2 linked regions of the Caenorhabditis elegans genome follow. The protein of the gene in region 1 interacts with the protein of each later gene in a pairwise test. Each region holds a gene or a part of one and is shown in the gene's direction. Other genes may lie near its edges.

Region 1 (7,722 bases):
ATCAAACCTATTAAAATTGTATAAAGTAAGAGTTTGTATCTCAAGTGTTTATGGTGTTTTAAATAAACAAATTTAAAATCATATGGCTTTTCAGGCGGCAATTTTGAAAAATTTTGTCCAAATTATAGTCAGAGTATTTCGTTAAAACCCACATACCTTTCGTTCATTGTTGCTTCATCAACTCCATCTCTTTCCATAATAGTCAAAAACTCTTTCTCTCCAACAAGACGATTTCCATTTGGTAGATCAAATCTTCGATGATAAATCAACTGCGAGAGTGACATAATAACACTAGAATGCACCATTTCGACACCATCCAAAACACAGACATCTCCATTTCTTGCTGCAGTCACAAGAATCGAGTCTTCCCAAACTGTATCGCCATTTTCTTTCATATGTCTGCGTTGGATAAGCTCTCTGGTGTTCATATCTTGATGCAGAACCATTGTGACATAATTGAAATTGAGACGTCGTGAAAGTTCGCCAAGGATTCTCGATTTCCCAGAGCCTTTTGGTCCAATTAGGATAAAGTCTCCTTTCGAAAATGCTAGAGCAAGATCCGCGATCAGATTTTCTTGCTTTGCGGTTGGAATCCAAGTAGACGCAAATGAAGTAGGATGTGATGGTGTTGGCAGCTTCATCTGGATCTTTCTCTTGTCAGCAGGAACTTGAACCGTATGTAAAGCACCGTCCGTTTTCAGTTCTCTGGTGCGTTCATGAGTACTCTGCAGAAAATGTTTTGAATACTCTGAGAAACATAATTGTAACTTACCAATTCAAACTTTGTCTTGAATGTGTTGATAAGATCTTTTTCACTGTCAGATAGAACTTCTTTGGCAGGATATGAGAAGTTGACAATTTCTCCTGCGGAATAGCTGGGATTCTCGTTCTGAAAATTGAAACGTCAATACAATTTTAGATCAATTTCAATACGCCTTTTATCACTTTCGAAAATAGTGTACACTTACCCAAATCTTCAATGTATTCTCTACGACAGCTGTGCCGATTCTTGGTCTTGAAGTTGACGCTTCCGAATTATAGGCATACACAACGGATATCAAATCGTTAAGATTTGTCTCACTAACGTTTGGAGCAATGAGCTTCGCTTGTTCCAAAAATGTGTGGAACGATAGCTCCTGAATATTTCTGCATTGGAATCTGCTTCGGAACGGCGGATCCAAAGAATTTCCCGGGAATCTTGGTACGGGAAGACCAAGGGCTATGACATGGAAGTTTTCAGAAACTCGCTCCATTCCCATCTTCTTCAGTGTCGCTTCATCGTATTTCACCTTCAGCTCATCGTATTTGTCATGCTTCATCAAAAATCTTCCATCGTCCAATTGCATTTCTCGATTTTCCAAAAGATTGTTCAGGATTGGAAGCACGTTTCGTTCGGCTCTTTCCACACCATCAATTACTAGCACTCTTCCTTTCAATGCTGCACGAACCGCACACTATGAATGAGAAATTGAAATCTCAAATTTTTAAAGAAAGTGCTTACCAAGTCTGTGTAATATGCAGTTCCATCTCTAATTTCACGTCGCTGTTTGATATCTGCTTCGGTGGTGTCTCTAGTGATTGGTAGGTACTCAAACTCTCGATTTGTAGCTTCCTTTAAAATTATTTTATTGAACACGGTGAAATTATTAGATTATTTTATACTAGTTTTTCACAAAAAATTTACCTTTAATAACTATAACTGGTACTTATTGGTTTCGTTCCACCCAAAATGTTTTAATTTTCTAAATAACAATTAACCACCTTTCATGTTAAAAGCGTGAACAAAAATAAGGAACGAAGCATTCATTTCTACAAATTGTTCCAAAAAGTTCACGTTTTTGTGGTTGATTGAAACTTAGAAAATTAAAACATTTTGGGGGAACGAAACCCATAAGTACCCTATATCTTTTTACTTTTATAATTTTATAGGAATAAAATCTTACCAAATATCTCAAGACAAGTTCCAATCTGATTTTTCCCGGCACTCCCAGCAGAAACACGTCTTGCTTTAATTTGTCTTTTTGAATGAGCCATCTCAAATGTGGGAGCAAATCCTGTGGGGGATTGTTTTTCTGCCCATAGAAGGCTGGGACAAAGTCTGGGTTCTTTGCATCTTGAAGTTGTACACTAACACTTCCGATAGTCAGCGTCGATGGTTTGGAGCTAGTAGATGCTGAATATTCACAATAAAAATTGTTTTGTTAAAACTTTCTTGGATACCTGTAGTTGTTAAAACCTTTCTTGCGTGCTGCAAGCGGAGAAGTGAAACCCGTGTGATCATGGGAGAAAACCTGTATTTTTTACCTGAAATACAACTACAATAATATTCAATTCTTAAAAAGTAAATACAAAAGTGAGTAATTAATATCAAAAAACACTTTAAATAAAAAACTTGAAATATTCAATTCAAATCATTTATCAAAACTCTCACAACGGGATTTGAGATTTTAAAGCGATGTAGTGTGGGGGGATCGAGATTCGTTAAAAATGTGAACTTATGCTTTATAAAAAGTTAAAGCGGTTGAAAAGTCTAGACGAGAGTCAAAATGTCGAGATTGAAGGTACAAAGGAGACTGTTCTATTCGTATCATTGTTATCATTTTGGACAGAAACATGACGTAGTGGGGGTAGAGAGAAAAAATGAATAAACTGATTGGTTATAATTACTTGCGAAGTAACGAGATGAGTGTGACGAGTGCGAGACCAGCCAAGCCTGCCCAGATGAACTGCAATAAGAAAATCGATAAAAATATGGGGCCCTCGAGGTGCACAGAGAGTGCACTAATCAAGAGGATTAGAAACACTGTGTGTTACGTACACGCAGGGTGATGTGCGTTCAGTGATGTGTGGTCTATGGACCGTTAACAAAGTACGCGTAGTGCTACAACGTAAGCTACACACAACTAGCAAATTCGCGAAAAGTGTGATGTGTATCAGAAATATGTCAGTTACTGCGGAGCAACGATTTTAATTTTTTCGAAAATATATTGTTCTTTTTGAAAGAAATAAATACAGTCAAAAATAAGTTGTTCTGAATAATCTTCAAAATCAAGACTGCAGAACTCGTAAATCGAAAGTTTGTAGGAAATTCTGTTCAAAATTATAACATTATTAGGCCGCCGCACAAGAAACACCTATATATGGTGCTGTGTAATGCAATTTTATATGAAGCTTTTTCACTACTGCCAAATTGATTATTCAGATTATCCAATGATTTGAAATATCCCGAGTTTTCAACAGTATTTTCGAAAGCTTCGCATTCACATTCCCATCCAAAAAGTTTTGCTATGCAGCAGTTAACTTTTATTAGTCAAGTTATCGTTTTCCCTCAAACATCGTCCTGATTGAAATCACATTGACTTCAAAACAACACATCATGGGAAAAACATCACACTTCCTAGCCATGTGTTTTTCTAAAACACTTTTCATTCCTGGTCATTTTGTCTCAAACATGCTGAACATTTACGTTGTGAACAAACCTGCTCGCGACGATCTCTTTTTGCATTGTCTTCAAGGAGCTTGTCGAGGGTGTGCGTGATGTCTCCTGAAATACAGGTTTGTTATTTTTAAGGTTTTTTCTTCAAAAATTTTCAATTGGTTTTATTAATGTTTTCATGAATAAAGTCAACAATAACGTTCAAAAAATGAACTACGACTTTTTGAGTAAATGATAAAAACCCATTCATATAATGCTACTGTAAAAATTGATAATTTGTTATTTACAGTCCAAAAATGGTGAAAACTGTGCCATTTTCTACATTAATAAATAATATTATGATATTTGGTCATTTTAACACTATTGGAAAGGTTTTTGATTATTTTTCCATTTGCCGTACTACAACTGTAAATAAATCTCACTACTGACTTAGTTGAGTTCTGACGGTTTTTATCTGACGAACAGGATCGGTTTCGCAGTGCGCTTCGACATCGCTGTGGAAGTGCTGAAATTTTTTAAATACTCGTCGCACATTATCAGTTTAAATTTACATCTGCAAATTTATCCATAATTGCCATATAATCCGCGGATTCGTATATGGATCCAACCGCTTCTTCGGGAATCTGGAACTAAAGCTTCTCAGTTTTTTTGGCTGGAATTTTGTCTCAAAACTAACAAAAAAGTGATCGTGTCCCGCTTCAATTTTCCTTTGATCATCTGTTGGATTTGTTGCAGGGTTTGAGAAGTTCTGAAAGTTTCACATTTTCCTGGCACCTTTTCTCATACAAACCTCCATTCCCGTCATAGACATTGCGTCTCCAGTGCCTGATATATGCTCCGGCATATACATATTTTGTCTGTACACGGGTTGCCACAAAGAATCGATAAAGCGAAGAGTGTTTTGTCTCCTCGCGCAACGTTGCTCCGCACTCCGTGTTTAGCCACTGTCTGTCGCCTCTGCTCTCTCGTCAGTCGATTTACGAACCTTGTTGTTGACGACGAAAAAGTGTAATTTTACTCATTTTAACTTGTTTTTGCGGAACGAAATTCAAGAGAAAAATAATACTTTCACCAAAGCATATTTTTTTCATTTAATTTCTTGAATCTTAAATTATTTAACAATAAAAAATTTTAGATGACAGAATCGATCAACTCCAAAAATTCCAATGATGTAAGTTATTTTCCAAGTCAATAATATTTTTTTTAAAAATTACAGAAGCAATATGTAATGGGAAAAGAGGAATTTTGGGATGATATCAAAGATTCGTATTTTCAAAAGTTAGCAAACACCAACCCGAATGATGTTTATCCAGATAATAATCCAGGTTTGCGTTAGCTTTGATAAAATAGTTTTTGGCTTTTGATATGAAACCTGGCTTTATATTTTGAAATAATTCACCATTTTTTCTATTTTATACTCAATTTTTGTTCCAAATAAGAAATGTAGCTTGACGCCGTAAAAAAAGAACGTAACAGAAATGAAACGAGTTGTTATTTTTGTTTCAAAATAATTAATGGAATGAAAATGTTAATAATTTTGATGCGATTCAATTGATAAAAATAATATTCCATTTTTCACAAAATAAATTTCCCCAATGCTCCTCTCAAGACTTTCAACCGCCTAACTACTTTGTGTAACTAAATTTAAACCTTACAGGACCAGAAAACCCCGATGGAACAGTTAACTTTGAATGTCACTGTGTTGGACATTTGGTGGCAAGCCCATGTGGCTACGAGTTCAGGTATTGTTTAACTGTTAACGTTCAAAGTTTGGAAAGACAGATGTTCACTTTTCAGAGAAGCAATTTCATGTCAGAAAACGTCAAGTGATGAGGAAATGGAAAATGGGGCGTGCGGTGAACAATTGATGGCGTTTATGGAGTGCGCGATGAGGACTCAATGTTTCAAGAGTGGGTTTTTAATGTTTTGCAAAAATTATGAAGATCAAACACTGCTGAGTTGTGCAAATTTTGCAAAATTAAATTCAATCAAGAGTTCAAGTTTAAACGGGAGAAAAATTTTGCAAATGAATAAGTGATGCGTGATGGGAATTCTAAAAAAATTGTGTTAATATAGAAGGGTACTTGTAGTGGTAGTTGTAGTCTAAAAAATGTGTGTTTCATAAATGAAAAGCTTAAATTTAGTAGATATCTTGAGATAGGAAACGATATTACCTCGGCTCAAGAAAATTTGCAACTCAATCAATTTTCACACGAGGACAAAAAAAGGAGTTTGGCAACAAAGAAATGAAAAATCTCTTTTGGGGTTCAGCTACTAAGAAACATAACCGACTAAACTTAAATGCCAAAGGGAGCTTGCTAAAAATAATATCAGCCTTCAGATTTCTTTTCTGGTTTGATTTCTAGTTCTGACTATAAGTTGTATTGTTTTTGACGTCACGCCTATTGTTAATTTAAAACGAAAATGTACGTATTTGTTCGTCATTTTATTTTCACTCGACATTAAATCAAATCAAATGTAGTATTGTTTTTGGAAATTTGATTACTGAATTGAACCAGAGCTTTACAATTGAATTTCGGGACCAATGATAACTTAGGGCCGCTTAATATGTTAAGAAACATGACTTTTTATAAAGTTTACTATAAAGTTTAAACAACAGCGAACAATTCAGTGAAGGCTGAATAATATTCATGACGCATGTTTTTTAATCACAGACTGATGGGCATGAATCCAATTATTTAATATATACTCTCGAAAAAAAAACTTGTTTAACAATTTCAGCCAACGACTCGAATGATGAGAAGTCAGCGGAAAAATGAACACATTGTGCCCATGGAAACCGACTCCTAGCAACATGTTGCTCTGATTTGAGTAATGCATTTTTTTGTATTAGGTTCTCTTTTAATAACGTCACTTTTTTGTTTTTATTTCTTTTGTTCTTTCGTTCTTATGATGTTTTTTTTTCTGATCATTGTGTTTTCTTTCTATTTCTTTTTCTCCCTCAAACTATCCGTAACACACGGGTTCATAGTAAACGATTTGTTCCTTTTATCTCTCGTTGTTTTATCACTACTTCGGTTCAAGGTCCGAATAACATTACTACCTTTTACAACGTACATATTGATTTTTCATCTTTTCTAATATATTTCACAAATTCGTTCAGATTTTTCAACTAGATGATGCAAGTACCGGACCACCTGTCAGTGACAGGTGCCGACCTTATGCAGATAGACCCGCTCAATAGATTGGTGAGTTTTTTTCTCCTTTGTTTGGGCGTGCTGACCTCAACTGGCTTGCGCAACCTTAGAAATTCTATACATTTTTGGTACATATGTACACAAAAAATGTTCCGTTACCCGTTTTCATATAATTTAGATTTCATATTTATTTCAGATGAACAAATTTGAAGAGGCCCGGACAGCAATGCTAGAAAGAATGAGCGTTCCAGAGCACATTACGGTAAATGGAAGAGCGACGCTGGTTCCAGAAGAAAGGAGAGTTTTTAGAACTACGGTGAGTATTTTGTTAATTGTAATGTCAAATATAAATATGAAAACGTAAAGATGCGGTTCTTTTTATTTTCACCACCTGTTTTTTGGTGATAAATTGTAATTAAAAAGTATTATGGGCTTCACAATTTACCAAACATGTTTTTATTTCAGTCACTCAGAATGGAAGTCCCCAATCATTTGAACGTGTTCGACTTAAAAGAGGATGCAATCAACCATAACAACAATCAGAAAATTGTAAAATTGCGTGAAAGTATCCAAGATATCAAGTTTTGAATTCCAGACGATTCCCACTTCATTTGACTCATCAAATGTGCAAAACCCGTACGAGGAAGTGAAAATGATGCAGAAAAGAATGAGTGAGTTCAGTTAAAATTTAAAGTGTTTAAAGTGAAGAAGCAAAATTTGACTTAATACTCTAAAAGTCTTACAACTCCAATTTTAAAATTTCAAAATTTTCCATAATTTGACGGCTGTTTTTGACGGACATTTTTAAGGTCTCCAGACTAAGCAAAAAAACCTTTCACAACTGTGCGGCGTCACATCAATTTCACTATAATTTGCTAGTAGAGAGTACATACAACGTCACACTTTTCAAAAATTAGTTATTGTTGATAAAAATTTAACAATGTATTTTTTGTACAAAAATAATGTTTTAAATTACCGATGTTTTCAGTTGTTCTCATGGGCCGGCTTGGAGTACTTGAAAACCAAATCGTCGTCCAAAAAAGACGTGAAAAAGGACTTCTCCTTGCATTAATAGGAGCTGTTATAACACTGGCATACTCATACCTCCGACGATAAGCTTGTTGTATA
Region 2 (6,725 bases), on another chromosome or scaffold:
CTCCTCACATAATATTTGCTTACACTTTTATTTACTTGTTCTCTTCATTTTCGCCTCAGTAGAGCGTATTTTCCTATTTCCCCAGAGAATTGTCCCAAAGCTTTAAAACTATTAGCTTTAAATTCTAAAATTAGAACCAGATTAATTTATGCTAAGTTGGTTCAAACAGTTTTGCTCAAAGTTTGATGCACCTGTTTAAGTTATCGTCTAGAAATCTTTGAAGAATAAACTGCTGAAACTGCTGAATATCTTGATCTCTGCTTAAATTCGTGAATATTTCTGTTCTCTGAGTCACCAAAGTTGTTTTCGCCATCGCACCATTTTTGCACTAGCTCAGCTGCAGAACAAGAAACCCCACACGACGGCTACCCGTTTCTCTTTTTTCCCTTTGCCACACAGTAGTGTTCTCTGAAATTATTTTGTTGTTTTTGTCTGGTTCTCACTCTCATTCACCATCTGAAAAAAAAGCGGCCACGTCATTTATTGTGGTATGAAAAGTTGCTCTTGAACTCTCTGGAAATCTTAAGATCTTATTGCTCACTCATGAACCTAATTCAATGGTCGGTAAGTGAAGCAAATGTAGTAGTAGGGCACAATAGAAAGTTTGCATGTACTTTTCCGCCATCGCCCTCCCTCTATACCTTGTCCTGCGTCTCAGTGTAAACCGTATGGGGCGGGGCACCTTCTCCTTCGGGGCGACCCGGTCGTACCGCCCCCACCATTTTCACCTACAGGGTTTGATATTCAGATACTAATGTCGATATGTAGTGAGATGGTGTACCTACCATCTCAACAGGTTTCCGCTAATCTTCCCAAAGATTACAAGATTTTGTTTATACTCCAAAAATATTTATTCATCAAGTATCCCAATCCAAATGGTCACTTACTTACAACTGACGATTAAACATACTAAACATTTAATTAAAAAATTATTCAAATTGTTTTCGCTATTCAAAACTTTAATTCACAAATGCAAACTATTCGAAATCTTATATGATTCATGTTAGACTTTCAACTTTCTTCTGATCGCAAGTACTCCATCAATTTGTCAAGACGAGAGTTGGCCTCTACTGCCAAAGATCTTATTTTTCTCGATAATCTTGAATCACTTTCCATCTCTATTCCTCTTCTTCATTAAACTTTTTATAACATGTCAAGGTTTTTATTGGATCTTTGTTTTTAGTTAGTTGTGACCCAATCACTAACGTCACCACAAGAATTCTCTTTCCAAATACAGTAGCCAAATTCCCATGAGGTTTTCACATCGACTTTGGTTCCCAGTCTCCACCAAGGAAGAGATAGAGGGTACATCAATTTGTGTAACGGGTCCTTCTTTTTCCGTCTTTTTCTTCTGAGCGTGGAGAGAAAATGTGTGTGTCGTCTATCTCTCCATCATACTCTACATGCCCTTTTGTTATTTCGCACTTCCCCGCAGCGCCAGGCCTCCTAGGCATCCCCAGACTGAAAGGTCGACCTCTCATACTTCTCCATTCCTTTTCCTTTCCTTTTTCTTCCTTATTCAAGCTTAATCTTAGTCAGATTTTCTGATAGATACTGACTCATTTTTTCTTCATAATGTAACATAACACATAACACCTGCATGTGAGATCTTGACGTGGTCAATTTGTACTTTTTGCTATTTTGTTATTGCTTCTCTAATCTGATCTGGTCTCAATCACATTTTTATCTTCCGTCTTCATGATGCCTTTTTGTGATAAGAAATGAGTTAGATAATAGAAATGAATAGCAAAAAAGCGAACTTTTAGTGATCACGATCAGAACAGTTATTGAAGAATAAAAACAAAACAAAAAGTTCATGATGTGTGTCCATGTGTCTGGTACATGTGTCTGTTTCAGTTATTCTGAGAACTACGTCAATTTCGTGCTCAAGTAAATTTTCATATTCCATAGTTAGAATATCAATCAGCTGCTATCTCTTGTATATTTGCCAACAAGTGCAGATAAATTTAATATGAACTATCTGAGCAATGCATAACCTGTGCCCAATAATGTTTTTAGTTTTACATCATTAATTTCAGCTGCTCGCATCTTATTAGTCCTTTCCATAATCTTCTTTCTTCTCCTCCTCTTTTGCACTTTTCCTAGCATTCTCAATGCCCCACCCACCCCCTTCTTCATCTTTTTTTCCTTTCCGAGAGCGTAAGTGGGCGGAGCCTTCTGTCGAGATGCCAGGACGTCAGTCACTCATTGCCATGCTACTCACGTTTTGGCTTGTCATTTTTTTGGTCACAGTTGTCAGGAAGCTTATCAAATCGTTTTACGCTTTCACGCAAAGTTCTATTCATATCAGTTCATTTTTGTAAAAGTGCATTTGAGTCACTGATTGTTTTTTAAGACATCGAATCCCTCATTTATCCGTCTAACCCTAAAATTGGCATCCGATCTTCCTTAAATCCTCATTTTGGCATCTTGAAAATTATTAGTTTAAGCAAAAAGTTCAGTTGAAGTACACTTGACTTCACCTTTTCAGTTTCCAGTTTTTGTCATGATCATCATCGTTTATATACCATGAAGGGCACCTTCATATCCTTTTTGGAACCAATTGCGCACGCCTGTCTGTCTCTAAAGCACTTCTTGTTTTTCATATGTGAGTGTGGAGAGTGAGAGTAAACCGGGAAAAAAACAACGACAAAGCTAGAAGGGAAAGTAAGAAAAAATAGAAGGAAAAGTGACAAAATAGAATAGAATAGACGTGTGTGTGTGTGTGCGTGGTCTGTGTATTGTTGAGGACACCGGTTCACCACTTTTTCCCTCGAATTCCCTGTTTGGCAGAGACTGAAGCTGAAATTTTTTGTTAGACTTCCGACATTTTTCCATCAAAACTTGATCACATTCGCTCAGAGATGAATCTCCAGTTTCAGTACACTTGCGGGCGCCGCCGCCGCCGAAATTCTGCACTTTGCCTCCAGATTCCCTTGTCCTTTTTGTTTTCGACACTGCGATTTGTCGTTTTGATTCACTAGTCTGTTCCTCCTTTTCCTATTTTTCTAATTCCTAAACGATTACAGTGACATTTGAAAAACGTTCGAATATTTTCAGGGATATCTTCTTTTCCCTTGCATTCAAAAGAATAAGAAATGGACCAACTGACTTCCCAGCTTGGAAGCGCTGAGCTTCAGGCTCTTATTGCTGCCTTGCCACATGATTTGACTCTTAACCCAGTAACTGTAAGTTTTAAATCAAATATGCAAAATATAAATCAAAATCTCATTATTTCAGAGCAAACCATCATCTGCATCAAGCAGTGATTTATCGGCATCTACTTCTACATCTTCATGTATTTTTCCTCCAATCAACGATATGACAGCACTTTCAATGCTTTCCCTAGGTGCCTATCCTGGCCTGTTCACTGGATTCCCACTTTTGTCTACTTTGCCATACTTGAATCTTCCACCACACTCAACAATCGAATCATTGGGACTTATCAACTCAGCCCTTTATCAACAACAAAAAGATGTTCAAGCTGCAATGAACTCACCAGTTAACCAATTTACTGCTGGATTAGCAGCTGATGGACGCCCAAGAGCATTTTCAAGCGCTGCCACTTTGCAACACGGAAAAGATCAAGAGAAACGACGAAAGAGAACAAGAAAGATGGAACCATCACTTCCAATTACAACAAGTACCATTACATGTTCCTCGAATTCGTCTCCCTCATCAAGCTCTATAACTACATCTGTGCTCCGAACATTAGTAGAAGATGATGATGCAGATGTGCATCCAAATAAAGTTCGACCAATTCAAGTAACAAAAGAGGAAGAGGATCTTGTTAGAAGAAAAACTCAAGAATGTAAGTCGTATATTCAAATTTTATAAATTTAAATTTACAATTCTAAATTTCAGTGCTCAAATCCATGCCCCTTCAAAAATTAGAGCCAGAAGTCAGCGCAAGTGGCCCACTTCGCCGTCTTATTCGAGACGAAGACCTTCCAGACGAGGTCGGACCAGATTCGCCATTCCGCCACTACCCAAAGTATCAGGTACACAAGTTAGTAGTTTTTCGATTCTTCCTTTTCTTAATAGTTTAAATCGAAATCTTCTCTCTATTCTTCTACTTTTTTCACATTTTAATGATATTGTCGTGCTTGACAGAACTGCATATTTTACAACCAATTTTTGTTTTAGAAAATTAATTTTAAAAACGCAGCTCTGGTGTGAAAGTAAAGTATTTGATTTTTATTTGATCTGTCATTAAGTTTAAATTGTTCAATAAAATTTCAATTTGCACACTCTTTGAAATTTGAAATACATTTTTTAAACTCTTTTTATTTTCAGCAGAAGCCCCGTTCACAACTAGTCATGCTTCAAGGAATCCAAGCGGCAGTCGCATGTATGTGCATTGAAGCTTTTCAACTCGACGATAAAACCGATGAGGAGAAAAAAGCTTTTTGTCAAAAACAACAAGGCCTTTCACTTGATGATTTGGTCAAGGAAACTGTGCGTCAGGAACTTGTAGCTGCAGAGTAGAACGTTTAGCTCTCATTATTTATACCTATCCACTTCTTTTTCGTTTTCAACCAGCTTTTACTCTAAGTTCAATTTTACTCAATATGGATAGGTTACAGTTTTCCCCGTTGAAATAGCCCCTATTTTGCTCTCAAAAACTACTCACTATTACGTCTCAAGGATCAACCGTTGCGTGTGCATTTTTCGTCTCCCCGTTCCATTTTTTGCTCTTCTCTTTTTTTTCTCTTTGACTAGAACTGTTTCTTTTGGATGGTCAAAGAGGAAAATTTAATTTTAATGTTTTTGAACAAAACTTCAATGCTTTAATATTTTATGTCCGTTTCATATTTTCCAACTTTGTATTTCCTGTTTTAAGCTTAAACCTTCATTTCCAAACGTCTCAATGTAATTCTCACAACATTGCCCAGCCTTTCAAATGATTAACATTTTTTTGTAAAAATTAAACGTTTAAATTCTAAAAATAATCAATCTGTACAAACAAATATGAATAAACATTCTGCAAATTGATAAGTTCATCCAAATGTAGTTTTCAGAAAAAAATAACACATCAAGTACCGTACTATTTTAAATCATGTGGCTTAGACTTTTGAGTTGTTTTCGACAAGTTCACGTCATTTTTCTCTCATTTCCAGTTTCCGTTTTGCACTTTCATTGATCAGTTACCCAGTTTTTAGGAAAATAAAAAAGGGCAATGGGGGATGCGGAAGTCTTTCAGCAGAATGTCACATTTTCAGAGAATGACCTTCGAAGTTTAGATGAAGACTGTAGTTGTTCAAAGCATAAACAAAATTTACAGTGAACTTACAACGTTTGCAAGTGCTTTTCAGAAATATGACTTATGAAGTACAGTTATTCCTAAGCAAACAAAAATGTGCCTGATGAAATAAGTAGCTAAACAACTCAAAAATAGAACGTGGGTGTCCGGTAAAAGCACTTTACTGTTTGAATTTGATTCAACAGCATTTTAAATAGAAGTGTGATAAGACAGCAACAATTTATAAGTTGGTAAATCAATTTTAGGCTATTTTGAATATTTAAAATAGGAAAATGTGTTAGTTTTTGAAAAAAGTGTCCCAAATAAAAAAGATTACCGAATAACAAGGTTCAAGTTCCAATGGTTCGAGACCAATTTGACATTAAAATAAAAACGGGAATATTTTATTTTTGCACAAAAAATATTTTTCAGGGGTATACAGCAAATCTTCACGGGCGTTTCGCGGTGTTTTTTTTTTAAATTTCAATTGAATGTTGTTGGCACACTTGTAAAAAGGAGATCATCGATGTAATGAAATATTTACAAAATCGTGAACACTTTAAAAATCACGACCCGTAGAGTGCAATTCGACACAATTTTCCCGCCAACTTTAGTGCCCCGCAACTTTAAGTGCCTCAAAACAATTTCAGATATAGTTCAAGTTCAAAATAAACTAGAATATCTTCTTGGATGCACATCAGTAGTTTATACACCAAGCGAAATTTTTGAAGATGAAATGCGATACTTGCCGTAAAAAAAATCTGAATTGTTCGAACTTGCATAAGAGCTTGAAATCAAATTTTGGAAAACACACAGTTCGTTTAAATGTGATGTGACACAAATGAATAAATGGTTGGAATCCACTCATATAGTGCAAAAAACTTGCAAAAAACTTGGCAAAAGTGCTGATTATTTAAATTTTGCCAGTCATAATTTTGGAAGGCAAATTATTTCTAGGAAATCTAATTAGGTTTAAAACATTTTTTGGCAAATATTGAAGAGATTCAAACATGCGAAAAAACCGCACACTTTTTAAACATTTGGCAATTTAAAAAAATTCTACATTATGTATTTCGACTAACCGCCTAATCCACCTAAATTTTTAAAGGCTCAAAACTTCTTTTTTTTACTTGGGCGGCATGAAATGAAGTTTCTCCTATTATGCTTATTCTTTTTGCAAATGTTTTCCAATTGCTGCAAATTGATACACCACAAGACTTAGTTTTGCAGATTGCGTACAATTGCTCTTGAATCGGAGCATCATCTCTGCACTTAGAATGTTTCTCCTCCAAAACTACCATATTCCTTGTACTAAATGCTTCAACTCTCGTTATTTTTTCTTTAGTGCATCTCACATCACCTCTTCCATCTAACTTCTTTCTGCTGCACGAGCAAAATTTCTAGACGCATGATCTACGACTTTTGCACTTCTTAAATCTAAGGAAAACTATTTTCTATTGATGATGTTGCGAAATGGAAAAGA

What was found.
Region 2: the proteins of F11C1.1 (region 1) and F45D3.2 interact in a two-hybrid assay, tested with the Caenorhabditis elegans proteins (one large-scale study listed by BioGRID).

The regions. Positions count from the first base shown.
Region 1 is NC_003284.9:12,986,058-12,993,779, reverse strand, and holds F11C1.1 (CHCH domain-containing protein), read left to right. Parts: upstream 1-3,200; 5' UTR 3,201-3,425; coding exon of another isoform or gene 3,426-3,544; 5' UTR 3,545-3,555; intron 3,556-3,865; coding exon of another isoform or gene 3,866-3,941; intron 3,942-3,987; coding exon of another isoform or gene 3,988-4,065; intron 4,066-4,112; coding exon of another isoform or gene 4,113-4,184; intron 4,185-4,226; coding exon of another isoform or gene 4,227-4,286; exon of another isoform or gene 4,287-4,436; intron 4,437-4,571; coding exon 4,572-4,607; intron 4,608-4,652; coding exon 4,653-4,761; intron 4,762-5,093; coding exon 5,094-5,178; intron 5,179-5,233; coding exon 5,234-5,346; intron 5,347-6,178; coding exon 6,179-6,216; 3' UTR 6,217-6,448; downstream 6,449-7,722. Other genes in the region: vwa-8 (VWFA domain-containing protein), read right to left, coding at 157-725, 773-889, 969-1,454, 1,502-1,612, 1,944-2,173, 2,221-2,281; F11C1.7 (Mitochondrial fission factor), read right to left, coding at 2,664-2,726, 3,480-3,544, 3,866-3,941, 3,988-4,065, 4,113-4,184, 4,227-4,286; mff-1 (Mitochondrial fission factor), read left to right, coding at 6,577-6,645, 6,791-6,910, 7,060-7,143, 7,190-7,265, 7,583-7,710.
Region 2 is NC_003283.11:12,537,980-12,544,704, forward strand, and holds F45D3.2 (Homeobox domain-containing protein), read left to right. Parts: upstream 1-3,059; 5' UTR 3,060-3,098; coding exon 3,099-3,188; intron 3,189-3,240; coding exon 3,241-3,811; intron 3,812-3,864; coding exon 3,865-4,001; coding exon of another isoform or gene 4,002-4,009; intron 4,010-4,296; coding exon 4,297-4,488; 3' UTR 4,489-4,998; downstream 4,999-6,725.